4 linked regions of the Notamacropus eugenii genome follow. The protein of the gene in region 4 interacts with the protein of the main gene of each other region in a pairwise test. Links are inferred from orthologs where the notes say so. Each region holds a gene or a part of one and is shown on either strand. Other genes may lie near its edges.

Evidence for each region.
Region 1: the proteins of TNIK (region 4) and AGTPBP1 interact in a two-hybrid assay, tested with the Homo sapiens proteins (2 studies listed by BioGRID and IntAct). The link is inferred for Notamacropus eugenii from reciprocal best matches to the Homo sapiens genes TNIK and AGTPBP1.
Region 2: the proteins of TNIK (region 4) and CNKSR2 interact in a two-hybrid assay, tested with the Homo sapiens proteins (2 studies listed by BioGRID and IntAct). The link is inferred for Notamacropus eugenii from reciprocal best matches to the Homo sapiens genes TNIK and CNKSR2.
Region 3: the proteins of TNIK (region 4) and SRGAP3 interact in a two-hybrid assay, tested with the Homo sapiens proteins (2 studies listed by BioGRID and IntAct). The link is inferred for Notamacropus eugenii from reciprocal best matches to the Homo sapiens genes TNIK and SRGAP3.

The regions. Positions count from the first base shown.
Region 1 is NC_092872.1:76,678,812-76,685,702, reverse strand, and holds the start of AGTPBP1 (cytosolic carboxypeptidase 1), read left to right. Parts: upstream 1-3,882; 5' UTR 3,883-3,968; intron 3,969-4,152; exon of another isoform or gene 4,153-4,386; intron 4,387-4,558; exon of another isoform or gene 4,559-4,724; intron 4,725-6,891. UniProt on the Homo sapiens protein: Metallocarboxypeptidase that mediates protein deglutamylation of tubulin and non-tubulin target proteins.
Region 2 is NC_092876.1:456,435,468-456,442,643, reverse strand, and holds the start of CNKSR2 (connector enhancer of kinase suppressor of ras 2), read left to right. Parts: upstream 1-4,174; 5' UTR 4,175-5,121; coding exon 5,122-5,185; intron 5,186-7,176.
Region 3 is NC_092874.1:436,048,115-436,055,633, forward strand, and holds the start of SRGAP3 (SLIT-ROBO Rho GTPase-activating protein 3), read left to right. Parts: upstream 1-4,518; 5' UTR 4,519-5,316; coding exon 5,317-5,383; intron 5,384-7,519. UniProt on the Homo sapiens protein: GTPase-activating protein for RAC1 and perhaps Cdc42, but not for RhoA small GTPase. May attenuate RAC1 signaling in neurons.
Region 4 is NC_092877.1:352,749,048-352,756,889, reverse strand, and holds the start of TNIK (TRAF2 and NCK-interacting protein kinase), read right to left. Parts: upstream 3,013-7,842; 5' UTR 2,793-3,012; coding exon 2,736-2,792; intron 1-2,735. UniProt on the Homo sapiens protein: Serine/threonine kinase that acts as an essential activator of the Wnt signaling pathway. Recruited to promoters of Wnt target genes and required to activate their expression. May act by phosphorylating TCF4/TCF7L2.

The sequences.
Region 1 (6,891 bases), on a different chromosome or scaffold from region 4:
TCTCATACACATACATAACATACATTGTCTCCCCCATTGAATTGTAAGCTTCTTGAGGGCTGGGACTGTCTTTTGACTTGTTTTGTCTTTTGTGTCAGTGTTAGGTACAGCACAGATTGGGTAGTTGGGTGCCTGTGCTTGGACTCCAATTCTAAAATCTCACCTCTCTCTAAAAATCACATTCCTCTCTAGCCTCAAAACACTATTCCAGGCAGTTTCTCCCCAGTCCAAGAACAACCTGTCCCAGCAAAAACCATTATCTTGCTTTCTGCTACAGTAGCCAGCTGCACCCATAGAATTTATTACTTTGAACCAGTTGTGTACTGGCTGAACTGGCTGTGTACTGGGTCATAACGACATTTACTACTCACTGACCAATCATAGGTACCCTAGATTTACACATACGTATACTCTTGTACATTTATCTTTTCTAACAAGACATTGATGAGAGCAGCCTGATATTACTTAGTCAGTCCTGATCATTAGTAGTCTTAGTGCCATTTCAGGTCTAAAATCACACCTTCATGAAGCCCCTCACCCCACCCCTCTTGCTCTATTTCTCAAAGAACTCTGGGTAAAATGCCTTCACAGTAGATACTAAAAGTGCATGTTCCTTTAAGAACTAACCACTCTTTAACCATACCTCAGTCCCTCTTGAATCACCTAGTCATCACGCTTGGCACATGTTTTACTATAGAATATACTATATGAACTTTACGTGTACCCCATTCAAATCTCAGGTGCCCTAAGAACCCCTGCCCACTGAAAAGTGTAGTAAGTCTTTACTACCTTGACCTCAAGAATGCTTGAGTCTGGAATTCTTTTCCAGATGACCCATGGAAGGGAACTCCACTCATTCCTCTATCTGTCCAGCCCTCATTAGCACCTGGCATAGGGTAGATGCTTAATAAATGTCTCTTGATTGATTGATTGAGGAACAGAAAGAAGGAGAACCAGGGGAGGGAAGTGCTATAGAAGACAAGAGAGGTAAGACTAACAGAGGTCAGATGGTCAACAATGTCAAATGCTATGTAAAGTTTTCCCAGGATGAGGATTGAGAAAAGGCTATTAGATATGATCTTTAAAAGGTGAGTGATGACCACGGAGAGAACAGGATCTGTAGACTGGTTTGGATGGAAGCCAGATTGCAGGAGTGGGCAAGTTGTGAGGAGGTGGAAGGGAGGAGAAGCTGTCCAGAAGTTTAACATCTTAATGGGAGGAGAGATGGATGACTGTGAAGGTTGGGTTGGGTTGAGGGAAAGTTTTGACACAATATTCTCTGAGGCAGGTAGGACATGTAATACCTTCATTTTATAGATGCTGAAACTGAGGCTCAAAGGAGTTAAGTAGGGACAAGTCACTCCATACCTCTGGGCTCCAATTTCATTTGTAAAATGAAGTGATTGGACTTACATCTGTCTAAACCTTATGGTTCAGCCAGTCAGTCAATAAACATCTATTAAGATCATACTATATACCATGCTGTGCTAAACAAGGGAAATACAAAGAAAAACAAAGAACTCGTTTTGTTGGGTAGGGCAACATGCAAAAATTTATGTATACAAAATACAAAGTATAAATGGAAGGTAAGTTGAAGGGGTAAGGCACTAGAAATTGGGAGAGTGAGACCTGGAAAGGCCTCAGGTAGAAGGTGGGATTTGAGCTGATTCTTGAAGGAAGTCAGTAGGCAGAGGTGAGGAGGGAGAACATTCTAGGCATATGGGAAAGTCATTGAAAAAAGGTGAAATTCAGTGTTATACTTCCTGCTAGTGAATGGTTTAGCTGGGACTTAAACTCTGGTCTTCAAGCTTCCAAATTTGATGCCCTTTCCATTATCACTTTAGAAATAGGAAAAAGAAAATCTCAACTTTTATCATTACCAGAACATGTTTGAACATGGTCCTTATCAAACATTTTTTGAACCAAAACTTTGGTGTCTTAATAAAGTTGCCCCTCAGCCCCAATATTCTAACTCCCTTATGGGCCCCACTGACCAGTAGTCATGTCCTGATTTAACCACAAAGTCTGGCTTTAACCACATCACATGCCTCCAGACTCATTGCAGCCACTGCCCCCAGATCCAATTCCCATATTTGAACTGGTGTGTTTTTGTATTCAACTACAATCACATCATTCATTTAGCCCAAAACAGGATCACAGTAGCTAGCCAATCAGAAGGTAGCAGGACCAGGATGAATGACCACCTAGGGACCCTTCCCCTATTACAAACTCCTGTCTTTTAATATTCATGATTTCTTTAATATACTTGTTGCTTTCTCTGAAGTTGTTGGTTCCTCTTGGAACTTAGCCCACTTCATGAGATATTTCAATCTTCCATAAATGCCTATACTTGGATTAGAGTTGATCTGACTGAATTCTTTGAGAGGGTGCTGCCAAAACATACCATGAAGCCTCATCACATGCATAAAAGCATAATCCACAGAACTCATTAGTCTAGTCTGGAAAACAGTGTTAATTGCTTGATGATGAGATTTTTTTCCCCAGACAAACAAAAGAACAACTCTACGTGTTATAGGATGTTCTTTCTTCCCTCCCTCCCTCCCTTCCTCCCTTCTTCCCTTCCTTCCTTCCCATATTGCAACTCTTCCACATCTTAGTAGACATTCCATGAGTTCTGATTTAGAAAAATTCACCTCCTAGTGGCCCCACCCTGGCCAATGAACATTTCTGAATCTAAGCCTTCTTTTTGTATATACAGATATACAGGCTATCATTTCTTTTGTACAGAATACTTAATCTAATCTTAAATATACATATTGTCTCCCAAGAATAGGAAGTAAACTTCTTGAGGGCAGGGACTATTTCATTTTAAAAATTTATATTCCCAGCATCTAGCCCAACACCTAGCATATAGCAGGCACTTAATATATGTCTGTGACCTGATTCATCAGTGTCTGGGCTAAGACTTTCTAGCTTGCTAAAACTTTTTAGAATTTGTGCTCTACTGGAACAGCTTTCAAAAAACACAGGGTCGTGTCCATGCTCTAATAAGGCAACAGGAGCCATCAGGTGATGATTTGTTATAACACTATTTCGTTTGTTTAGCGTCGTTCATGAAAAAGAAACCAAACCAATAACCACCGAAGCATGGGTTCTTCCTTCGTGGCGGGAAGAAGACCATGCCATCAGAGAAATAACGACATGATTTGCATTTGACTTTGTTTTGAGGGAGGGAGGGCTGAACCACACCTCTTCTGCCTGCTGCAACCATAGGTTTCTACATTCCCAGAAGTCTGGCGGTAAGGAGTAATTTCACACCATCCCTTCGGAGCTTCTTAGAACGGGCTTTCTCCACGTGTGACTGCTTTCAACAGATTCACAGAATCTGGGAGCTGGAAAAGATCTCCTCCGCCTCTAATCAAACCCACATCTGAAAATATAATTTACATTTTGTATGTATGCAAAGTACACGAAACAATATATGCTGGTTGTGTATTTGCCCGTATTGTCTCCTCTTTTTAAGTGTTATTCCCCTTCCAAGAAGCCTTAGATCTTTGCCATTTAATTCAGTGTGTGATAGTTCTGTACACCCAATGGGCATTAAAGAAGTCACGTCTGAGGAATTCCACGCTTTCGGGTGGGTGACCAGTACGGTTAGTCCCAGGAAAGGTGTGCTGTTTGATCCCAGGAGCACACGGCGCGGTCATGGGCAGCATCTGGCACATGCATGCAAAGAGGAGCTGAAGAAAGGCTAGGACAGCCTCGCGAGCCAGCAGTCCTAGCGGGGAGGGAGGTAGGCAGCGCGTGCCAGCAGTTGGCAGTTCGCGCCTCCCGGCGCCGGTCCCTGGGGCTGGGTAAGGATGGGGGTGGGGTGGGGAGGAGGCTAGGCCTACGGGGCCCAGTATCCTCATCATTTTTCGATGCCCCTTCTGCCCCTTGCCCACCCCACACTACTCCTCCTCCCCACACACTTTGCCCAAGCCCGTCTTCAAGACGACCGGGAATGGGTAGGTGTCAGAGGGGAAAGCCGGGAGGGGCGGGGCGGCGAGGCACCGTGACAGCGCGTGTGCTTTCCCCCCGCCGGAGAGGAGACGGGGGTGGGGGGTGGGGGTGGGGCGGCGCGTGCTTCCCCCTCCCCCCGGAGTAGGGGCGGGGGACCAGGGGGGCGGGAAGCCGGGTGGGGGCGGGGCGGGGCGGCGCCGTGACGTTGCCCGGGATGCGGGCAGGTTCCGCCGCCGCCGCCGCCTTCTCCTCCTCGCCTGCTGCCGGGGTTTGTATGAAAACACCGGGCGGCCGGCGGCGAGTGACCCGTGGGGGCCTCCGGCCTAAGCAGCCCCTGCCGCCGCCGCCGCCCGAGCGGGAGCCGGAGCCGGAGCCGGAGGCCGCCCTTCCTTCCAGGCCCGTCCCTCTCCCCGCCCAGAGCCGGTAAGAGGAGGTGTCGGCCCCGCTCCCCTCCCCGCCCCCAGCTCTGCGGCGGCGCCGCGGGGGCCCCTCACCCGGGCCGCGCTCCGGGGGCCGGACAGGCCGGAGCGGCCCAGCGTGAAGCCTTGACCAGCGGCTGGGCGGGCACGGGAGGCAGCGGATGCTCGGGGTGGACGGTCTCGGTGTTGTGGTGGAGGAGCAGGAGGAGGAGGGAGGAAGAAAGAATCGGGTGGGGGGGCCCAGAGGTGGGTCCCGGAGACCCTCCCCGCTCCGGCCCTGCACCCGCAGCCACGCAGGGTTCGGACCTTCAAGGACGTGACTGAGCTTTTTCTTTTTTTGGGGTGTGTGTTATTTTTGTTTGAGGAAGCGGGGGGAGCCTAGGTAGGCCGGGGGGTCCCCGCCTCTCCGGGGAAGCCTCCGAAGTGTCAGGTCCCCTGCCCATCGCCCTGCGTGGAGTGTCCTGGGAGGAGAGAGCAGTGAGGCAGCGCAGGGGGTGCCCCCGTGGCGCTGTGGCAGTGCGGGTCCGAGCTTCGCGGGGCGAGCTGCGGGGCTGAGGGGCCCATCCCTGCCCAGCCCCGCTTTGCTTTGTCAGCCTCCATTCGCGTTCTTGGATCCCCTTCCCTTTGGAAGCCTTTGGGGATCGGGGCGGGGAGAAGGAAGGCCATGTGCAAGCTCCAGCTGGACGTCTACACTTCTTTCCCGGCTGGGTTTGCGGGGAAGCGAGTATTCTGTTTACTACTACTTGTCACCTTGTGGGTTTGGCTCGAGCAATCTTCCGTTCACCCCAGATGACAGTGCATAGTTGTCCTCCTCCCCTCCCTAGGTACTCCTGAGGAAATTGCGAGTCGGGCACTAACTAAGGAGCTTCGGGGGTGTATTTTTTTTTTTTTTATCATTCATGTTCCGTGTTTCAGTCTCGGGTGTGTCCCTTTCATTGTGTTAGGCATGCGGTGGTGTTGGTATTGGTGGGTAGCCTTCCTATGGCTTTTTCCTACATATACTTGTGGCATTCCGTCGTGATCTGGAAGGAGTACTGACTCTGGAGGCTAGCGGATGGGGGGGCAGGGAAGGGGGGTTCCAGCTCCTGCTTCTGCCTCTCACTACCTGGTTGACCTTGGACAAATTTTAACCTTCCCGGACCTCCATAAAACGAGAGAGTTAGACTCCATGATGGCCTTTGTGGCTTTTCATTTTCTGTACCATTTTTAATTAAAGTTTTTGGTTCCAAATTCTGTTCCTCCTTCTCTTCCCTTCCTCTCCCCAAGATAAGCAAACAGAGGCAATAAATGTACAATTACGTAAAACATTTCTAAACTAGTCATCTTGTACAAGAAGACTCTAATAAAAGAAAAAAATAAAAGTGAAAAATAGTATGCTTCAGTCTGTATTCAATCAATATCAATTCTTTTTCTGGAGGGGGATTGTAGGCTTCATCATTAGTCCTTTGGGATTGCTTTGGATCGCTGTATTGCTGAGAATAGTTAAGTCATTCACAGTTCTTCATCGAACAGTATTTCAATTAATGTGTACAACGTTCTTTTGAGTCTGTTCACTTCACTATGCATCAGTTCATGCAAGTCTTTTCAGGCTTTTCTGAAATCCTTCTGCCTGTTATTTCTTATAGCACAGTTGTATTCTGCAGCCATTCCCCAGTTCATGGGCATTCCTTATTTTCAATTCTTAGTCATTGAGGTCTTTTTCTACACTAAACCTATATTCTGTGACGTCCTACTTTTTAGAGTATTGTTGAAAACCCAACCCTCATCCCCACCCCCCTCCTCATTTTTCTGATATTGCTTGTGAAAGGTTTATGATCCAGCAGTGTCGATGACCTAAAACTGTATGATACTTGCAGGTAGTATTGTACTGTATTTGGATGCATTTTTGGGTTGTGTTTGTAAAGTGAAATTATTCAGCAGTTTTTAATCATTCATTTTTAATTAAATGTCAGTTTTTCCATTTAGAGTCAGTATCTTTTATTTGTAAAGATTAAATTGGGTAGATTTGATATTTGAATGTTAGACTACATTACCCCTTGAATGTAGAAACAGAATTATTCTTTCTACAAATTTCCTTTGTGTCAAGACAATTGGAAATTTGTGCTTAATAAAATAAATAGAAACAATTAGCATTTTCCTTTATCATCTGCACTTAGGATAAATTAGTTTCACCATAGTACAGCTTTACTAGCTTAAAATGGCACTTTTGGGACATCCTGTTTTGCTTTTAATGTTATAGATTAAAGAAAAAATTAGTGACTTCCTAGAGTATCTTTAAAAAAAAAACATTGAAAATATCTTACAAGTCTTTTTTTTTTTTTTTGATGCAACCTTATTGAAACAGTTATAGTATCCTTTTCCTCTTCATTCCTTTAAAAAGATTTGGAAAAATTTATTCAGAGACCTGATGTAACTTATCCCTTACATCAAAAACCTTCACAACTTTCTCTCTACATTCCTATGAAGTAACGGACCCATTTTGAATGACTTCACACTATTTCCTTGAAAA
Region 2 (7,176 bases), on a different chromosome or scaffold from region 4:
GAGTTCTAGTTTAGACCTGTTGAGTTTGAGATACTTGCTATGACTCTGTGTTACAATTGTACAGAGGGCCTTCATTGATCTAATTGTCTTCAGGGCTCGTTAACGCCCTTCAGAATGCCATGCAGAATGGCTGCATGGTATAGTGACTGGAGCTCTATCATGTCAAATCTTGCCTATGTCATAAGCTATCAATGTGACCTTAGAAAAGTCATTTAACTTCTCAGTGCTTCTAGGCAACTTTCTAAGATTAAAAGTGGCAGAGTTACTTTTTTTGTGGTGGCAAAGAACTGGAAGTTGAGGGGATGCCCATCAGTTGGGGAACAGTTGAACAAGTTATGGTTTATGAATATAAAGGAATACTATTGTTCTATAAGTAATGATGAGCAGGCAGATTTCAGAAAAACCTGGAAAGACCTGCATGAACTGATGCTGAATGAAGTGAGCAGAACCAGGAGAACATTGTATACAATAACAGCAACATTATGCAAGTATCAACTTTGATAGACTTAGCACTTCTCAGTAATGCAATGATTTAAGACGATTCCAGAAGACTCATGGTGGAAAATGTTATCCACACCCAAAGAACTTTGGAATAGGAATGCAGATAGAAACCTACTATTTTCTTTTTTTCTTTCTCATAGTTTTTTCCCCTTTGTTCTGATTCTTCTTTCACAACATGACTAATGTGGGAATATGTTTAACATGATTAACATGTATATTAATATGTATACCCTGTATCACATTGAATGCTGTCTTGGGGAGGAGGAGCAGAGAGGGGGGATCTTTTAGAACTCAAAATTTTACGACAGTGAATGTTGGAGTAGTAATAAGTAAATTTTTTAAAAATAAGTCTTTTTTGAAAAAATGGCAGAGCTGTTATAGATATGAATTTACACACACACATAAATCATACTGATGAAAATATGGGTCTAATCTAAAAAAAAATCGTTAGGTAAGCTAGAAGTTTATTTTTTATATGTGTTTTTATTGTAAAAGTTTCTTGGACTGAAATGTGCTTTTTGAAATGTCCTATAATACTGTTCTTAGGGTCCATGCCAGGAGACTAATTTATACATTGGCAGTCTTGGATGAAGCCAAAATAAACAGAATTCAGATTATAATGAATACCCCTTAGAGTTATGGTGTATTTCAACAAGTCATTTGTTTACAAATAAATTTTCCCCAGATACCATGTCTTGCTTCTCAGTCTACATTGCTATATAAAATTGGAAAGGGTCCATTTTGTATCATCTAGAGATGTTTGATGAATGAAGAAATGTTGCTTCTCCCCTAAGTCACCTTAAACAAACTTAAAATCCTCTTTCACTTGGGTTGCCAAACTTAATTGAAATCACTGGTCTTTCTCAAACCCAAGGTGATTTTTTCCTCCCCAAATACATTCAAATGGAATAAATCAGTCAGGCCCAGTGACTAAGGTTTGACTTAGCAGCTTCAATACGTCTACCTGCTTCATCATCCTTCCTCCAAACCTACCCTGTCTCACACCTGGTGATGGGGTAAGGGGAACACAAGCTCATTTAGGTGAAAGAAATGTGTTACAGTGGATAGGGGGAAGAGTACTATTCTAAAAGCCAAGGTAGCTGGATTTCACTCTGGGCTCTACACTTGTTTTACTAAATGATCTTGGACAAATAATTTCATGAAGGACTTGTTTACCTCTGAGGGTTGGATTAGGTAACATTTAAAGTTTGTTCTAGTTCTTGGTGCATGGTGGGTTGGGTATTGAACTTGATATCGTGAAGTCCTGGGTTCAAATTCTTACGTAGTACTTAGAGTACCTTTGCGACTATGGGCAAGTCACTTAATCTTTTTCAGGCCTCATCTCATCTGGATTTATAATAATAGCTATAGAATTTATATTATAGGATTGTTGTGAGTTTCAAATTATTTAAGTTATTTTTCAAAAACACTGCCGAACACAATAGAAATGTCGGTCATTATTATAAAAGTCTATGAAAGGTGCTTGTTCTACATTTCCAAACAGCAGACACAGGAAAGGGACTATGGCAGTAAGGAATTTTCAGTAATGTAACAAGGTATGCAGTATATGAGTAGGAAGGTAGGGTTCTTCAAGATCAGGATAAAAAAAATATCTGTCGTTGTGAGTAGAGAAGGCAAGGTCCTAGAGCTCTTTTATTTGTCTTATATTTCTTTCTTTTAAAAAAAACACTTAAACTATGCTTGATTTAGTGGTCAATGTGAATGCTGAAAATCAGCTGAAATGAAGACTCAAATTACTGTCTATTTGTAGTCCCACCGTTATCCTCCACATGTCACTTATATAGATCACTGCCTTCAGTTTTGACTAAATCAAATCTAAGGCAAAATCCAAATTTGGGACATAAGATTCTATAAATCCCTGTATAAAGGAATTTTGCAAACAGAAGTGAATGTTAAATTTCTGTACCTAAAAGGAATGGGTATAAAACTAGATAATATTTTAAAAATAAGCAACTTCTAAAGTTATTGTTTTTTGCATAAATATGCATAACCAATAATCATTTATTAATCATCTACTATATGTCAGACACTTCAGCACTGGGGATTTAGAAAAAGATAAAATACAATCCTCACCCTTTGGGAGCATAAATATGTACTTTTATATCTACATGTCTCTATTTCTATACATATAGATATATGTATGTATTTATGTATGCATAAATATAGTCAATAGTTAAACATTTATTATGTATGTACATATTCATACATATAGTATACCTCATTACTTATATTAATATAGCTAACATTTCTATGGAGCTTACCATGTGCCATATCACAACAACCCTGAGAGTAGGGGTTACCATCATGCTTATTTTACCGATGAGAAAACTGAGAAAAACAGAATTTAAGTGACTTGCCCAGGGTCACACAACTAGTATCTTTCCATTTTTCCCAACTCCAGGTCCAATGCTATACCCACTGCTCCACCTATAAAACAAAGAATGATAACTTCAGAAGCTAATGTTTTTTTTTTATTTCTAAATCCAAAATTGTGAGCTAACTTTTTGTTTTTAACATCAGTTCTCTCTGCAAAATCCTATAACATTGGGGTCTTACAGAACTTAATTTCCCAATAATGCTATAGATAGCTATATAGAGATACGTAAAAGATAGATGATAGATAGATAGAGTGGATAATGGATGGATGATGGATGGATGGATGGATGGATGGATGGATGAGAGGATGGATAGATATATGTGTGCGTGCATGCACAATACGTATGTGTATACATGCTCATGTGTATATATGTATATATCAGAGAGAAAAACAGCCGGATATATGTATCTATGGCTATATGTGTGTCTCAGTGACTGTATAGGGGTGATTATATATGTATATATCCATACACATATAGCCATTGATACATATATCTATATATACACACATGTATGTATGTAAATATGCATTTCACAAAAAGAAAAAAATCTTAGTCCCATTTCAAAAAGGGGTGAAATAAAACCGTCTCCCCACTTCCCATTCCCCCTCCCCATACCCACTTATCACTAATAATGGTTTCTGGCTACCGTAAATTACGTTAAAAGCTCAGAAGCGACTACTGTGGCGGTTTGCTCCTCGTAGAAATTCCCTCCGTAGCCCGCTTTGTAATCGGGAAGGAGGAAACCCCCGCCACCGCTGTTTGGCTGTGCTGCAGCGGTTGTTGATGTAATCTCTTTGCCCAGTGGTGTTCCCCATCGCTTCCCGCTTCCCCCATTCCCCCCCACCCCTTTTCCTCCGGCAGACGGAGACAGAGTGCAACTCTTCAGCCACAATAAAGGCTTTTTGTAACTCGATACCTTTGCCCACTAGAGCTGAACTGCTAGAAGGAGAGGGGTGTGGGGATAGGGGTTGGGGAGGAGAGGTGGGGGAGGCTACCGATGCGCCCCTCGCCTTCAGTTTCCCTTGGAATCGTGATCTCTCCCTCTCCCCATCAAGCCCTTTCCTCCCACTGGGGCCTCCAGCGGAGGCTGCTGCTGCTGCGACTGCTGCTATCACAGCTGCGGTTAGAAGTGCATCCCAGGCTGTGGGAGCTCATTTGGAAGATGCAGGTGGTGTTCCTCTGGTGTGGCTGGCCCCCACAGTATTGGACCTCACACACACACACACACACACACACACACACACACACACACACACACACACACACACACACACACACATACTGCTTCGTGCTTTAGTTGGGTTGCGGGTTCTCTTCTCGCCCCCTTAGCATCTAGAGAAGAGAGCTTTGGAGGGGATTCTCCCTATCTCTCCCCCTCTCTCCCATCGCCCTCTCCTCACTTAAGGGAGCTGGAGAGATATTTTGGTGGCAAGAGGCACCTCGTCATTTCCGCTAGCCTGTGTGCTGTGCCTGGGGTTTTAATCTCCTAGCCAGAGACAAGTCTTGGAGTTTGGGGGTGGGGGTGGGGGGCTGGAGCTCTTGAGAAAGAGAGAGCCATCAAGGCACTACTGAGTTATAGGAAAGCTCGCCTTCCAAGCCTTGGTCGAGCAGCCTCCCGCCAAGACGCCCTAACCTAACCCTAGCCCTGCTTAAGGAAGCAACACCTAGGAGCAGCGGTGGTGGCAGCAGCCACCAGCAGCCGCAGCAGCAGCAGCAGCAGCAGCCACCAGCAGCAGCAGCGGGTGAGGGCAGCAGACGTCTGAGCGTGCTCAGCGTCCCCCTCCTTCCCCCCCACGGGAGAAGACAGCAGTATGAATTGGAACCCTACATAGAGAGAGAGAGAGAGACAGACAGAGGAACGGAGAGGAGGAGGTGGGGAAACAGCTGAAGGGACTGAGCAGAAGGAGAAGGAGGAGGAGGAGGAAGAGGAGGAGGAGGAGAGCTGCGATTCGGTGGCGTCTCCCTCCCTCTCCCGGGCTGGGCTGCCTGGCGCTGATGCTCTAGGTTCGCTGAGAGAATTTGCAGCAGGGAGTGCTACCGGGAAACCTGATACAATAAGGCAGTCTGCTTCCCTTCCCTCGACTCCCAGCCATCCATCTACCCAGAGAGCACCCTATCCTCTCTGCGGGAGAAGAGGAACCAGAGGGGAAAAGATAAGATTTCTAGGGTGCTTTTTGCTTTTCGAATTCTTCGCCTGACAAAGAAATCAATCCCATTCCCAATGGCTCTTATAATGGAACCAGTGAGCAAATGGTCGCCGAGTCAAGTGGTGGACTGGATGAAAGGTAATTCCGATGGTTAGACTGTGAGGTTTGGGAAGAAAGGGGAGGGGACCGAGGAGGAATTCTTCCTTTAATCAGTTAATTAGTCGCATTTTCCTTAATTTAGAAACATTAGCACGGCATCGCTAATAGATATTGAAATGCGTTTTATCAGCGCCTAGGCATTTGTTTTGGATTCCGAGTGGAATCTCCTCTTCTGGCCCAGAGACCTATGGATTACCCACCCACCCACCACCCCGCCATCATTTTGAATGAGGTGATCGGATGCTTGGAGTCTTCTCTTGACTATCCTTTAATGTACTACCCCCCCACCCCCCACCCCACAGTAAACCCCCATCTTCTTGTTTTGATTCAGTCATCCAAGCTGGGGCCCTCTCTCTTCCTCCAGTAGGGCTGCCAGGCAGGTGTGCTTATGCGAGAAAATGAGGGGTCTCGGGGCGGGGGGGGGGGGGGGGTGTCTACGGAAAGGCAGACCTCTCTTGCACAGGTTTGGCACAGGATAAATCCGGCCACAGGGGAAAAATCTCGCTGGCGCAGAGCTTGCCAGGGATAGAGCCCATCTGGGGATGCTCGTGCGGGGGCGATGAGAAAGCTCACACTTTCTAAATGATCTGCTGTCTCAAGCAGGTAGCAGAGTGGTTTATCTGTGTAACCTTTTAATCGTGCGTATTACAAGTCTCCTCTTTTCCTCCTATCTGTTACAGTTACAGGAATAAGAAGGAAAATCATGAACGTGAGACTCCTTCAAACTGTTGTTTGTTTATTTTTTTGGTTTAACGTCTACCTTCTAAGATCCCAGACACTCACAGGAAATCTCTCGCTAAACTACCTTCTCTGCACCCCCCCTCTTTTTTTGGCTTTTCTTAGTTTCTCTTCCCATCTTTCCTTCCCCTTCGACCCTCTAATGTGCTATTTCGGGACAAATAGAACACCAATTCTAAGGCGATACTTAGAAATGATGGGGTGCTTCAGCGGTGTCACGGCTGGTGCCGCGGTGGCAGAGGCTGCAGGGCTTTCCCCAGAGTCCACGTAAAGGATGCTCACCCGGGCCCTGGAGAATTGCTCTGCTCTGTAATGCACGATGCCAGTGCGCTACAAGAGACGCGGGAGAATTTCCCTCTGGGACCCGCCAGGCAGGCCGAAATCAATTGTTTTCAGTGCTGCCAATTCACCCCCACTCCCACCCCCTCCCCTTCTGGTTCACTGCAGACTGGACTCGATCAAAACCCTGAAGCGGCTGATGCTTATTTATATGTCGCTGATGATGCATTACGATGTCAGCAACTGCCCCAGAGTGTAACACTTCTCTCTCCATTTGCAGTCTTTCCCCCCATCCTGTAATATTGCTGCCTCTTCTTATCCACATTTGACATATTTAGTATTAGGTGTAAATATATAGAGATGTCCAACCCCAAGTGGATTTTATTAAAAGACAGAGTTCTAAAGAATCAGAGTACATCTCAGCTATCCTTATTTTCCCTGGGACCTTTTTTTTACAAGAGTAGGCATTTCTCCCCTACACGTATACCTCACTAGCACAACAAAATCCCATATTACCTAGTACTAAAATGTTGGGGAGCTTAAGGAGAGAAAGGGTTTTATCTGAACCCACACAACATGTGTCTTTTATGGGCTTATGAATTTGAAGATGTCAGACAAGACATCTGACAAGAGTCGTATTTATCCAAAAGTACAAATACTCTAGATAGAAGCTCACAAGACTGCTTATCATTGATCATTTATGTGTGTGCTTTAATACAGAGATAAGGTACCTTGACTTTCTGTGTCTCAGGTGAGTAGGCACAGCCCAGAGAGGACTGAAGAGATTTCCTCTCCCTCCCCCCATACAATTTTTTTTTCCCTTTTTGATAATTTCTTATTTCTTAGTGTGGGATTTTTTCCATTTAGTTTGTTTTTCTGACCCATATGTCTTTGGTTTCTTGTTTTGATACTCCCCTCATAGACTTTCTGGTTTTACCCTTCATCTTTCCTCT
Region 3 (7,519 bases), on a different chromosome or scaffold from region 4:
CATTCATTTTTAAACATTTTGAGTTTCAAATTCTCTTCCTTCCTCCCTCATTGAAAAGGCAAGCAATTTGATATAGGATATACATATGCAGTCATGCCAAACACATTTCCATATTGGTTACTATATAACTTCTTCCATCAGCATCCAGAACTGGGACTCAACCTTTTCTTCCATCCTGGTCCCCCTTTGGAAGTCGAAATGTGAAGCCTGGGGACCTCTTCTCAAAATGATGTTTTTTAATATATAAAATAAAACACAGAGGACTACAAAGGAAACCAATTATATCAAAATACAGTTATCAAAATTTTTATTTTAAAGATTATAGACCCCAGAGAAACAAACCCTGATGCACAGTCAGTTTTTCTGTTGCTTGAAGGTTATACCTCAGGCACATTGGAAAAATGGCATCACAACATGTCTCTAATTGGAGAGAAATGTGCTTTTGTGTGAGGCAGAGAGTTCTCCATCACTGGAGGTAGTCAAGCACAGGCTCATAATCCTTCAGCAGGGATGGTGTGGAAGACATTCATATTTTAGGCAGAAATTGTTCTAGGTGATCTCTGAATTTTCTTATAACTCCAAGATTCTTTGAAATATCTTCTCCCCACTCCCAAATGAAAGAAAGGAATTGAACTTTCTCAAGTGAATATGCCCAGCCAGGGCCATCCCAAGGATAACATGGATCATAGAATTAGAGCGACAGAGACTTGAACTGTCATCAAGTCTAACCTCTTCATCTCACACATAAGGCAACTGAAAGAGGTTATGTGACTTGCCTAGGGTCACACAGCTAATAAATGTTAGAGGCAGGATTTGAATGAAAGTTTTTTGATTCTATAACCAATGATCTCTCCATAGCTGGAGAACCTAGATGGAACAAATGACTCCTCTCCCTTGCCTTGGGAACAAGGTAAATTATACTCTGTACACTTCATCCTGCCTTCCCCCAAGCCCCCCCTGGAATCATAACAAAAGCCATTGATCAGTGAACAAGATTGGACAAATCAAGAGTCAGCATTGAAGGGGAAGAAAAGGAGCCAAAGGCGAGATGTCAGGAGAGAGTCACATGTAGCCTGAGAGGACGTGGAAATGATAAGGGGGAGGCAGACTTAGTTGCCAGGCAGCCAGTCCAGCCCACATCGCCTTGGTGACAAAAGAAGAGGAGGTGGAGGGGCTGCGAGTATAATAATAACTGATGTTTATTTGTACAATGCCTTAGCAATTACAAAGCACCTTAATTCACACAAAGCACACGTAATTTCACACTAATTCACAAGTCTGTTGAGGTAGGTAGTATAAGAAGGATCATTTCCATTTTACAGATTAGGGAACTGAAGCTCAAAGTGTTCTGCTCAAGTTCACACAGCTAGCAAATAGCTTTCTTACTCTAAGGTTCTTCCCACTATACTACAAGATTTCTTTTGTTTTGTTTTGAAACACCAGCTGATGGAGAAACCATTTCCTCCTCATCCTGGGAATGCAGATTTAGAGGTGGAAGGGACCCCAATGCCCACCTAGTCCAATTCCCTCATTTTATACTTGAGGAAATTAGTGACTTGTCCGAGGTCACACAGCTAGGAAATGACAGTGATGATTTGAACCCTGGATCCCTGACCCGGCATTTTTTTTTCAAAAGCATCCTCTCTTCCGCTTCTCAGTCTACCTGTTTTAGCCCCAGTCACTCATGTTACTGGGCTACTAAAGGATCCGGTGCCTTTAAGTAGGGGCCTAGATAATCACCCTGACTTGTTCTCTGGGTCTAGCTTTGTGCTCTGTCTTCACTACTGCCTTTTTTATGTCTTGGTATATTGGCTTAGCACGGAAGCATCCTGGAAACAGTTGCTGAGGGTTGATTTTTCAATGGGAGTCTGTGTTTGAAGTGTATGTGCCACCAAGGACACTGTGAGATAACTCTTGCTGGCCTTAAGGTTAGAAGATCTGGGTTCAAATGCCAATTGTGCCACTTGCTGGAATAATGGGAGTAAATGGGTGATCTGTGGGTACTCAAGGCTACTTCTGGTTGGCCATGTGATTTCTGGTCCAGCACTGAAGGACTATGTGCTTTGAGATGATGAAATACTTCTCTTATTGGACACTAAGCTGGGAAGAGAGGTGGCTGAGAGGTCAAAGAACTTGGAATCAGGAAGACCTGAGTTAAAATCCAGCCTCAGACCCTCACTAGCTACGTGACTCTGGACAAGTCACTTCGCCTCTGTTTGTCCAGTTCCTTCATCTGTAAAATGGGGATAATAATAACACCAACCTTCCAGGGCTGCTGTGAGGATCAAATGAGCTAATATTTGTAAAGTATTCTTAACACAGCAGGCACATGTAGGTGTTATATAAATGCTAGCTATTGTTATTTTTATTATGAAGAGCAGCCTCCTGACTCAACTTGTAAATGAGTAAAACTTTTGCTCTCATCTTCTTCTCTCTAGAATATGTGGCAAAGAAGTCTCCCGCTAGATTTTTGGGACTCCCTTGGGACTCTCTCCCTTTGAGGGAGGGAGGAGTACCTCCTTCAGGTGGTAGCAATGTCATCATCCTCAGGAGCTGTCTAGATGAGCCTGAGCCTTGGGTCCCTTATCTACCTTTCTACTTGTGCTTCTTTCCCCAAGAATAGGTGACATAAAAGCAGTCCTGAAATGGATTTTTCTAGACTTGGAGGCAACCTTCTGAATCTGAAAGACAGAGGGTTCCTCCATCGCTTGTTCTGAGTTGACTAGCAGCAGGAGTAAGTTTCTGCAATTATACTTTTCTCAGAAAAGATGGTGAGCCCAAGGCCTTGTTCTCCTGACCTGAAGACATATATCTTGAAGGAATTGTTTAGATGTTGCAGAGTCAAGGTGAAAGTGAAATGCCTAGTCAACTGTCCCACTAAGTGTTCTATGTTTTAATGTTCTAAGTATCAATCTTCTAGGAGAGTACTATTTAACAGAAGTTATGGGTTACAGTATCACACTTCATGTTTTTGCCAGTGCATCCTTATGAGTCTTTTGTGTTTTTAGCATTTTTCCTGTGTGTGTGAAATAAATAGCTGTCCTATATCTGATATACCTTGCACATCGATTATCCTTCTACTCCCTTTTGGGAAACCCTAAACAGAAGCCACACTTATGTTCTATTTGATTTCTTCCTAGGTTTTAGGATTGGGGTGGGGTGAGGAAATATGTGAAGAGCCAGAGACAGTAAAAAAAAAAAAAGGCTGATCCCTTTCTTTACATGAGAAGCTTCCCTAGAATTGAATAATAATAGTTAACATTTATACAGTGTTTTAATAATTATAAAGTGCTTTTGTAGATTTCATTTGATCCTCACAACAACCCACTGAAGTAGGTGCTATTTTTATTCCCATTTTACAGATGAAGAAACTGAACTTGGGAGAAGTTGTGACATTAAGTGGCTGAGGGAGTATTTAAGCTCAGGTCTTCTGGGTCTCAAATCCCATCCCTTTTGTATCTTCTGCTTTGCTTTGACAAATGGAGACCTTAAGACCATTTGTTAGGCTCTCTCTGCTTCTGAGAGATGTGCCAATCTGTCTAGGTCAACTGTTTTTCAATGGAATACTACCTAGCTGCCAAACTGTCCTCAGTCTGTTCATGAGCCCAGAGCTAGGGAACCCTTCGTGGAAAAGCGTAAGCCTCCCAGTTGTGCAGGGCACAGTGGGTATGTTGTTACAGAAACTGTATAGCCTTGTGAAAGTGTGTTACTCTCTGTGAATCTCAGTTTCCTCATCTGTAACAGGGGGCTAAGGATTTCCGTGGGTTCAAATACTTGGTCAGACACTAGATTGTGACCCTGGGGCAAATTACTTAACCACCCCCAGCCTCAGTTTACTCATCCCTACAATGACGAGATGGGTTTCAATAAATTCAGAGGTCATTTCTAGCTTTACATCCAGGATCCTATAGTCAGGCAAGGACAGACATGATCGAGGGTGCGAGAATAACTAATGTTTATATGGCATTTTCAAATTTACAAGTCACTTTACTTGGAATCTCACCACAATTCTGAGAGGTACAGAGCACAGATATTCTCCACATTTATGGATGGGGAAACTGGAGCGCAGAGAGGGCTAACTTACCCATTGCCACACAGCTGGATTGAATCAGAGGCAAGACATGAACCCAGGTCTTCCTGCCTCTCAGCCCAAGGCTCTAACTCGTCCAGTATACTGCCTCTGCACAAGGCGAGGGGAGGCGGGTGCAAATTTTGTGAAATCCACTGTGAGCTCCTGTCCCCAGCCTTCAAGTCTTCTCGGAATAAAGACCGTGAGTTTTCACGAGACAAAGTCATCTGGGAAACCTCCGAGGCCAGACCCAGGTTTTGCTGACCGCCTTCCTCTCTGCTTCCCTCGGTGGCCTCTCGGTCTGTGCTAACCTGCTCCTTTCTCCGGGTCGCGGTCCCTTTGGTGGGGCTTTTTTCCTTTTCGCTTGCAGTGAGTTGTGATGTCCTGTAGGCTACAATGTGTCAGTTGTTATAAAATCTAGGAGGTGGAGTCTGGCCCGTGACGCGACGCTGGTGGTGCTGGGGGGAAGCGAGCGAGCGAGCGAGCGAGCGAGAGGCAGCCCTGCAGTGAAAGCAGCTCCAGTTTGCAGCCCCCCGGCTCATTGGAGCCCATGCATTTCAGAAGGAAAACTTGTATTTCTCTCTCCTGGCTTTGATCGTCTCCATAAATCTGACCGTTGGAAGGACGAGGACGACATACAGAGGGAGGGAGAGAGAGAGGGAAGATGCGAGATGAGAGCCCCTCTGGCAACCTGACCATTTCTTTGGACAAACCTGGAGAGCTTTTCTTATCGGCTCTGGGAGCTGATTGCACGTCAAAGGAGGAGCCTCTGTGTGTGTGTATGTGTGTGTGTGTTGGTGTGAGTGCAAGGGTGTGTATGCATAGACCGCGATTGTGAGTGTGCATGTTGGAATGAGTGTGTGAGCGCTTGTGTGTGTGTGTGTGTTTGCATGTGCGCGTGAATGTTTTTGAGATATATATATATATACATACATATATTTAAAGAGAAGTCTGAAAAAACTGAAGCAGGTTGCTGTGCTTTTTTGGAGAGGGGGATGTCTACTCTTTTTTAAGACAAGCTGACCGAAGTCAGTTATTATCTGCTCCCCTCCTCCTCCCCCCCGCAAATGAAGAGAATTCTTCCTGCAAGCTAGAAAGAAGGTTTTTCCCCCTTTCCCCTTCTGCAGCCAAGTGAAACTGATTAGTCCCCAAACCTTGGAAATCGCCTTGACTCCTGCTATTGCTGGGAGGACCGGGGAAGAAATCGGGGGAAAAACAAATCGGGGTTGGTGCAGCCCCTTCAGAAAATGTCATCTCAAACTAAGTTCAAGAAAGACAAAGAGATCATAGCTGAATATGAAACACAAGTCAAAGGTGAGTTACCTTTTGACTTTTTCTTCCCCTCCCCCTCTTGATTTCTCTAGATGTAGTGGCGATTATTTTTCCTCCCATTTCCTACCGTCAAACGTTGTTATGCATCGATATTCTTATTGTGAGCATGGGTGGGTAGTGGCTGCACGAGACCTGGCTGGTTTCAGCTGCAGCAATGCAAGGGGCTGGTGTATGGATTCTAGGATGGATAGCAAAAGCTGCATTGCAGTTGTGTGAGGGTTGTCTGGTTGACTTGAGGAGCGCCAGTGTCAGTAAAATGCCTACTTCATCATCCTGATGGTGACATGTCACTCTAAAGCCATTTTGACAACCCGTGCTGTCCTCCCTAGCCGTCAGAGCCCTTCAGGGCTGGTGTCTTGGCAGATCTAGCTGCTTTTTTGCTTCTACCACTTTTCCCCCAGGGGTCAGGATTCATGTGTATGTGCACCTGGAAACGGTACACACACATTGCATTTCTTTGTCAATTTCTCTCTGCTGTGTTGCATTTCCATGGATTAACTGTTATGGGGACATATTGATCCAAACTAATGCAGGCATTTAGGCATAAAGAGACAGCTCCATGCAGAAATGTTCTATCTCACAGTGTGCAGCCAATCAGGTTTCCTGCAGCAGCATTTAGGGGCGTCTGTCTTCATTCAAAGGAAACAAGCCAGTGTACAGTGAGGGCTGAAGAGCCTCTGTCTGCAGTGGCTTTGGTGAAAGCTTGTCTTGAACTCAATGACCTCTGACTGTTTCTGAGCCTGGTCCAGGACCCATGCCTTGCTGATCGTCCTAGCCAACTGAAGGCTGACACAGATAGCTAGGTTTGCACTAGTGTTTGCGAAATTGAGAATTGCAAAAACCCAGTGTAGTTCAGATAAGAAGAGTGTTTTTTCCCCAGCCTCTCTTCCACCCCACCCCTTTTGCATCTTCTGCTTTGCTTTGACAAGTGGAGACCTTAACATCATTTTCTAGTCTCTGTATCTGCTTTTGAGAAGTATGTCAGAGGCCTCAGCTCAGCACTTACAGTTTAGCAATGATCTATTTTCTTTGGGGTCACTGTTCTCTTGCTACAATATGAAGGATCCCTCATGAGAGTAAAGAAAATAAATCTTCAGGGGGAGACTAAGGCCCGTCTTTCCTCCCACTGAAAAGAGCCATTATATGAGATCAGTATGTCTTGTGCTTATACCACCTGCCTCTCAGTTCCTTTCTGTGGAAGGACCTGGGAATTTAGGAAACCAGCCCCCTTAGGAACTGGAGGACCTGGAGAGTAGAGGGCTGCCCCTGAGAACTTCAAATGCTTGAGAAACTTTGGAAAAGGAGAGTAGTTATCAGGGGGAGGGCTTTGTTTTTCCCAGCCAGCCAACAATCCTTTTCTTTTCAATTCTGGCAAAAGGACGTTATGCTAATCATGGATAGACCAAGCTCTGGATGAAACTGATCAAGAAAACCTTCCCTTCTCCTAACCGCCTCCTTTGTATGCTGTTGTCTTGTGGAAAATAGTAACTTCTGATATGCCTGTCTCTCTGAAGTTTGGAAGACAAGCCCTTTATTGTTCTGAGAACTGGCTTGGTTGCCAAATAAAATAACTAGGCTTAGATTTGCATTTTCAATGAGGTTATTATTTATAAGATCTATTTTGCCTTTGTGCATATATACAGATACGTGTATGCATATGTACATATGTATATATATATATTTAGAGAGGATCTTACTTAAAATTCCGTTGAAGAGTTTTGGAAAGTCTTTCTCAGGTTTTCAACTCCCTCATAAGGTCCAACTGAGTCATAAAGGCTCTTATTCCTCTTTGAAAGGATTGGTCTTCACCACTACATCGACTAATTTTGCTTGATTTCCAGTCATGCCTTTATTGTCTTGGCTAATTATTGACCTGCCATCTTTATTTTAAAGAAGTAGCTAGCAAATACAAGATAATGAATTTGGACATGGATTTATTCCAAAGACACCATCCGTAATCCTAGTTTTTTGCACCCAAATTCTCCGATCCAATCCCTATCCCCGGCCTATGGTTTCACCAGTACTTGGAACTGGGAGAGTCTGTCTTGATTTAAGCACCACTGACATCTGTGGGACTCAGGCAAGGATAATTTTGCACACCGAAACCTTTGGAAAGCC
Region 4 (7,842 bases):
AGGATCCAGAAGATGTCATTCGGTCTTTCTGTCCCTCTTCCTCACCAACAGTTTTCTCTGTTGACCCCAGAGGAATAATCCTAGTTTGGGGGCAACTTGGCATCCTGCCTGGGCTTAAGTTGTGTCTCTCATGGACTCCTCCCTAACCAGGCCTCCTTCCTCCCAGTTCTCCTCCTTGATGCTTTGCCATTGCCATCTTTCTCCCACCCTTACCTGGCAGTATGCCAGAGAAGGAACACAGAGCAGCGAGCCTCAGGCTTGCTGGTCAGTTTCAGTACAGGATACAAACCAGGTATTCTGAAACACACAGGCAAGAAAGTGAAACACACAGGAAAGAAGAATGTGACTAGAGACAGCATCAAACCAGCCCTACCCACTGGTCATGGATGCTTGCAAGGTAGCTCTGTATTCCTTCAGATTCAACTGTACAAAACCTTCCATGGGAACCAACAGAAAGGCATGCATCCCCCTCAACTTGAAATTCTCTCCAAAGGGAACTGCTTGGGATCACTATCCTAGAGGAAATGGCATTTGTGGTTTCCATTGTTCCAGTCCCTGATGCCCAATTCCCATTTTCTCTGCACCTTGAACTGCTATGCAGCCACCACTCACTCTCCTACAGCCACACTACTCAAGGGTGCAGAAAGTAGGACATAGGAATAGCTGCATTTTTTAAAGAAAAAAACCCTCAGGATAAAAGCTACTCACTCACAACCTCAGAGCTCCTTAGCTGTGCCAAGATGGTCACCAGGGATTGTCCCTTTTGAATGTGGCAATCAGTGCCAGGGCAAGGATTCCCAAAACCTTCTTGTGTTAAAAGGTGAATGAGCTTCACCCACTCCCCCACACCCCACCCCAAGTCTGAATGGTCATATCTCTGCAAATGTTATGCCTACTCCTTCAGACGTCTACCTGTCAGTAACTGCCCCCCTCCTCTCCCCTCCCTTAGACCAAAAGAATCAGAAGGGAAAGTTAGGGGTGGTGGAGGAGGGAGAGGAAGGGGGTGGGGGGGCGAGAGAGAGAGAGAGAGAGAGATATGATTCAAGTGAGTGGTTATTCCAAAAAAATGTGCCAAGATTTTCTCCATCACAGTAATAGCTCTCTAAAATATATGAAAAGAGAGGGAGTTTAATTCGGGCTCTGAAAGCGATAAAGAAATAACACCCCCCTCAAAAAATAGATTTGGCATCCCTTGGGCACCAGGTTTTATCCCTCGCCAGGGAGAACATATAGGTATTTGGGATTCTGTACCTGCCCATTCAGTTTCTCCGACCCTGGACACATCAAACACAGGGAAATGCTATTTTTGTAGTATGCAAAGCTAATGAGCATTTCTTAAATCGGCCCCCAATGTTCTCCTCCTTCTGCTCTGAAGTCCTCCACCCCCATCCAGTTTTCCAGTAGGCAGGGTTTCATTAAAATGGCAAGAAAATAAAGCCCCTTAGCTTCAAGTGTTGGGGTGTGGGGGAGGGAGAGAAAAAAGAAAACATCCTGCCAGCATCGGGGTTTCTGATATTTGGCTGTTAAAAACCACCCGGCGGCAACAAAATGGATTCTATCTTAGGGATGTCTTGGTCAATACAGAGAATCGGCATCTGAGTGAGTTTCCCAAAAAGGTGAATTGGCCTGATAGCAGGTCACACACACACACACACACACACACACACACACACACACACACACACACACACACACTCGAAGATCTGGATCTTCCCTTTTGCTTGTCACAAAACTGAAATATCAATGGACTCAGATCAGCAGCCTGAGCTAAGGCGGAGTTAAAGGCATAAATAAAGGTGACTGGGTGGGGGTGGGGGGCAAGCAAGCCCCTAAGAGCTCCCTAAAGGAAGCCAGACAGGGAGTGAGGCTGGGAGGGCGAGGAGACGGGAAATGTTTGTATGGACAAGTCTGGCATAGCCGTCCTAGAAGCCTGGAAGCCGTTCGGGGCCACCTTCCCTTCCCGGTGACACCCGGAACTCAAGGAGGTCTCGGTTCTAATGTCAGGCTGCAGGTAGAAAGACACCCTAGGAAAACTGGGAGCTGGAGCGGATTGATCAGGACCCTGGTCCTGATACGGTCTGCCAAATTCAGAAGGTTCAGCAGCCCCCTGGCAGACTGCCTCTGAGAGGGCGAAGCCTTTTTGAACACTGATTACTATTGTATTCTTGCCCAAGGGGAATAGCTCTGAGCCTTCCATCGTTTGCCCGATGCCCGCCAGGAGTGGGCATCCGGGAGCAGGTGGCTGCCAGTGGCCCTTACTCAGAGAAACGGAATGGCGAACTGGGTGTTGTACACACAGCCCCGTGCGAAAGGTAAACGGCGGCGTGAGCTGCTCCTACACACACACACACACACACACACACACACACACACACACACACACACACACACACACACCAACCACACCATACCACACCACACCACACCCCCGGGCATCTCCCTTTCCAAGCATCAGTCCCCACCACCAAAGGCAACCCAGTCTGTCTATCCACCCATCCGTCCGTTCCGGCACGCATCCATCTCCAGCCTGGAGGCAAGTGACTCTAGAGCAGCTCCCAATGCAAACAGCCCCCAGCAGGTCCCTCTAAAGCCCCGAGCCCACAACCGTCTCCTCCATGCGCCGCTCGCGCCCCCACCCCCAGCCGCGGTCCACGAAGGATGGATGCCTCCAGATCGTGGGATGCAGCCGCCCGGGGAGGAGAAAGAAGGCAGGCGCCGAGAGCGCCCAAGCTCACCCTCAGAGCCGAGAGATCGATCTCGTCCAGGCTGCGAGCCGGGGAGTCGCTCGCCATGTTGGCTCCTTTGCCGGGCAAACCGAGCCCCGGGTGCCCTGGCAGTCCCCTGAATTGCCTCCTAGTTCTAGGGGCTGGCCGCCCTCATGCGGGCGGGGGTCGTGCCCCCCAGCAACCTTCCGCAGCAGTCCAAGCAGCAGCCGCCGCGGAGAGCGAGGGACCGAGGTCTGGCCGCCAGGCAGTCCGCCTCGGCCAGGCAGCAGCAGCAGCAGCAGCAGAAGGAGGAGGAGGAGGAGGAGGGGAAAGGGGAGGAGGGCGAGGAGGAGGAGGCACGAGTGGGCTGCTGCTGGTGCTGAGAGCGGCCCAGGCGGCAGCGCAGCGCTGCTAAGGGAGTCGAGGCTGCGTGGGTGTATTTAAATGGGACATGCTTTTCTGCTGGTGCGTGGATGGCCGCTGCATTGGCTGTTATAATGAGACACTTCAACTCCTCCACTCAGATGGGGGGAAGAGCGCCGCACACAAGTGTCTATCACAGCTTCCTGGGAGGAGTAAAAAAAAGAGTGGAGGGGGGTGGGAGGAAGGGGGAGAGAGAGAGAGAGAGAGAGAGAGGGAGGGAGAGGGAGGGAGGGAGGGAGGGAGGGAGAGGGAGGGAGGGAGGGAGGGAGAGAGAGAGAGAGAGAGAGAGAGAGAGAGAGAGAGAGAGAGAGAGAGAGAGAGAGAGAGAGAGAGAGAGAGAGAGAGAGAGAGAGAGAGGCGTGGCCTCCACCGGCTCAATAGACCCAGCTTTTCCTGACCCAGTCTCTTGCACCAGCCCTTCTTGGGGACTGGAGAGGCAGAGAGGAGGACATCTCACCTCTTTCCACCACCACCACCTCCACGTCCCCGGCACGTTCGCCTGTTTTGGGGCTGGAGCTGCTACAACGTGCCTGAGCATACAGCGAACCCGCGGGGGTGGGGGCTGTCAGAGAAAAGGGAAGAAATTCTATCGCTGCGGAGCTGGGGGTGGCGGTGTTGGGGGGGAACGTTGCAGCAAAAAAAGACAGATTCTTCACCAGGGATCGAATTGTGCCTTCGCCTTCTACGTCGGGGTCCACATCCCGATGGTTTTAAGAAATTATGATAATAAATAAAGGCCATTATCCCCCAACCCCACTGTTGTTTGCAGTCTGGAGTAGCCTGGCCCGCCGCGGCAGCCAGTGCATATAAGGACTGATGGAGCAGTGGGGAGGGCACCGGGGTGAGATCGGCCTCCAGCAGTGGGCCGCACACGTCCGGCACAGGAAAAAAAAAGAAAGAAAGAAAGAAAGAAAGAAAAGAAGGAGCAATAGCGTAGGCAACCGCGGCGCCCAGGCCACTTACTAGGGCAAAGCTGAAATTTGCATAAGCAACAGGATGGGGGTCAGCTCCCTACCCCTAGCCCCTTATTCACGGTCACTCGTGCATCTTGCCAAAGCTGAGAAAGGATGTGGGGGTGGAAGGGTGATGAGCCCTAGAATGGAAATTGCCACCCACCTCCCCACTTTCCCCACCCTCTGGGCCTCCAATGCCTGCAGTTCCCCGGGGGAAATGCCCGGTACTAGGGAGAACTCTCCTTTCCAACTGACGATCCAGGCGCCAGGTACCTGTGACAGCAGCGGCTGATTAGTGCTTCTAACCTGGATTTAAATTTTTGTCCGCGTTTCATTGCTGACCTACACAGATGGAGAGCGAAAGTTTGCCTGCCAGGAAGCACGCAACATACAAGGTGTAGGAGGGAGACTGAGTGTGTTTTTTTGCCAATTTCTCATCTGCATCCAAAATATTTACAGCGCTGCGCTGCTATACTGTGGGGCGGTTTGTGAAGCCACTTCCCCTTAACCCCCAGCCCCCAGCGCTGCTTCCCCTACGGCCCTGGGCACACGAAAATGGAATGTTGGTTCCAAATAGAATTGTGAATTTTCAAATTGTTCCATTCTCCTTTGTTAGAAACAATCTCACTCGAGCCAAGTGCTCTGAATGGCTTTGCTTGTACATAAGATAGAATACCAGCTTCAGAGTAAAGCTTTTGAATGAGCAAGTGAGTGAATGAAAAAAAAGGTCTGGGCAGTAGCTTAAATGTTTGCAATTTATTCATGGCATTCTAAAATGATTTTCAGCACCCACTGTACTGTGTTTAATGTTGGTATTTATAAAGACTAATAGAAATGATAATGCACCCTGAATTTTGAAAGATTGATCCACCAGCTCGCTTGCCACCAAAATTCACATGACTGAGTTTTGCCTTTAAGCCTGGTACCTGTTATTAATACTAATAGTAACTTATAGTTAGATGACATTCTTTACAAAGAGCTTCCACATATATTATCTCTACCCACAGTACCAAGAGTCCTGGGAGTTAGGTAAGTACAGTAAGATCATAGAATCAGATCTAGGACTGATAGGGACCTGAGAGGTCACTGAAGCCAAATTGCTGGTTTTACAGATGAGGTATCTGAGGTATAGGAAGACTAAGCAATTTTTCCAAGGTAACAAAGCTAGGAAGTGGAGGAATTGGGACTGATAACAAATCCATCCTTCTCTCCATTTTTTCCTAAAGATTTAGTTCAACAAATGTGTATTAAATGTCTTTTGTGTGTCAGACTCTCTGATAGATTTGAAAACAAAAATGAAAGCATTCCCTACCCTGAAGGGGCTTAGAATCCAGTAGGGGAAGAATGATAGAGGATTTGGTGAGAATTGAGGTGTAATCACTTGCCAAAGGTCACATCGCTAGCAGCTCAGTTCTAGAACCCAGAGCTTCAGACAAGTCCAAAGTATTTTCTGCTTGGAGAAAGATCTTCAAATTTGGAATTGGGGGACTTTAGAAGGAATTCCAAAGAAACTTGCTGGGAACAATATCTACAGTAAAGTATTTTGGGGGGAGGGGAGGATCCCTCAGTTTCTTGTCTGTAAAATCTGGGAGTTAGACAACCTGACCACCAATGTTCCTTTGACCTCTACATCTATATCTTTTTTTCTAAGCTATTTCCCCACATATTTATGTCACATGCAACAGCTCTCAGTGATGTCAGAAAGAGGTAGGCAATTGTCTTTCCTTCCTTATTCTCTCCCATGTCAATTTCCTATCTAGATCTAATTTAAGGTTAAAATATCAGTGTCTATTTTGGAGAAAATAACATCACAAATTGAAGGGGCAGGGGTTCAAACAGAATTATTTTATATGGTATTTGTAATTTGTATTAAAAGGAGGAACAATGACCAATTTGCTTGAATCAGTAGCATATTTTTCCATTCCTAATTTTATTTGGAATATAACAAAACACAATAGCCCTCACCAAAAAGGAGAGAACAAATCACTTCATTTAGAATTGAAATAACCCCTTTAGGCACCCAGGTTAGTATATCAAAAATTATGGCTCTGGAAGGCACTAAATCATATTTTTATTAATGGCAGAAATTTGGGGGCCCTCTAAATAAGAGGACCAAGCTCAATCGACTTATATTTACACTTCAGAACCCTGGGAAAAAAGAATGCCCATTTCACCCAGTCCATTCAGGGTCCATTGATATATATTATCTTATACCTAGTCTGTGAGGTCTGCAACCTCAGTGAGGTCATTCTGCCTCATCCTATCCCCAAAGCAAGTATTTGCCAAGCCTTGTCCTTTCTGCCTCCATAATCCTCTCCAATCCAATTTATTTATTAAGGACCCACAAAAAGAACTGGACAAGGTGCAAAGGATAGAAAGACAAAAATTTAAAACAAAAAACAAACATACAACCTGTTTCTAAGGACCTGCATGTTGTCTCCCTGCCCCTAGCAATTAGAGGGGGAGCTTCTTGAGGGCAGGGACCACGTTTTTGCCATTCTTTACATCTCCAGAGTTTAGCACAGTGCCTTAGGACTTAGAAGGCTTCAAAATCATACCTTGATTCCTTCCTCCCTTCTTAGTACCATTTAATGTGTTACCTTCCCCCATTAGAGCATAAGTCCCTTGAGCGCAGGCACCAATGTTTTTGGTTTGTATTTGTGGCCTCACACTTAGCACAGAGTAATACCTCACTACCTAATAGTTAGTTGATTGAATACTGGGAGGATACATGTAAACATGAGGATATGTGTTTTTTATTTGGACTTGATGCATAATTGCTTTGGTATAGGGATCTCCCAGGAGGAAATTTTCTCTTCCAATGCAGATCAACCCTTGCCCTGAGTCTCCTTCTCTGGGTCTTGAGAAGTGTCCTGACTTTCCAAGAAGCACATAGCCACTGGGGAGGGCACAGGGGTGGGATCAGTCTCCAAGCAGTGTGCCACACACTTCCCAACCTTGACAACAGCTGCTTCTCTAAACACATACACACATGTAAAATATACACATATACATATATGAATATGCATATACATATATGAATGTATGTGACTATTTGCACATGTCTAATGGGCCATTAGGTGGTGCCATAGTGCACAGAACACTAGGCCTGGGATAAGGAAGACTCATATTCCTGAGTTCAAATCCAACCACAGACACTTACTAGCTGTGTGAACTCATTTGGGTTTTCTTGACAAAGATACTAGTGTGGTTTTCCATGTCCTTCTTTACCTCATTTTACAAGTGAGGAAACTGAGGCAAACAAGATAAAGTGACTTGCCCAGGGTCACACGTCTGGTATCTGAGACTAGATTTGAACTCAGGTCTTAAGTCTAGGTCCACCATTCACCTACCTGCCCTAAACAAATGTGGTTTCTCACCAAGGTAGAATACAAGACAATCATCTTCAAGGTTCTGGTATGCCTCCCCTGAGGCAGCCTAAGACCACGTTCTCGTGTTTTTGCCATTATGTTATACCTTTGACTCATACAGACACATATCAGTTTAGACTTTGTATTACACTTATTTGCAAAATGAGAGTTCCTTGAGGACAGGGACTATGTGATCTCACCTTTGTATCTCCAGTGCCTTGAACTGCGTCATGCACACACTAGACTTTTGGTAAATGCTTGTTGAGATTGATTGAATTTAGTGTTTTAGTTCAATAAATATGTAGAAAGCTGCTAGGTGCAAGGGAGAGAGGACCTCACTGTCTAGCTGAGGAGGCAGTTACAATGATGAGAAGAAGAACTAGCAATTCT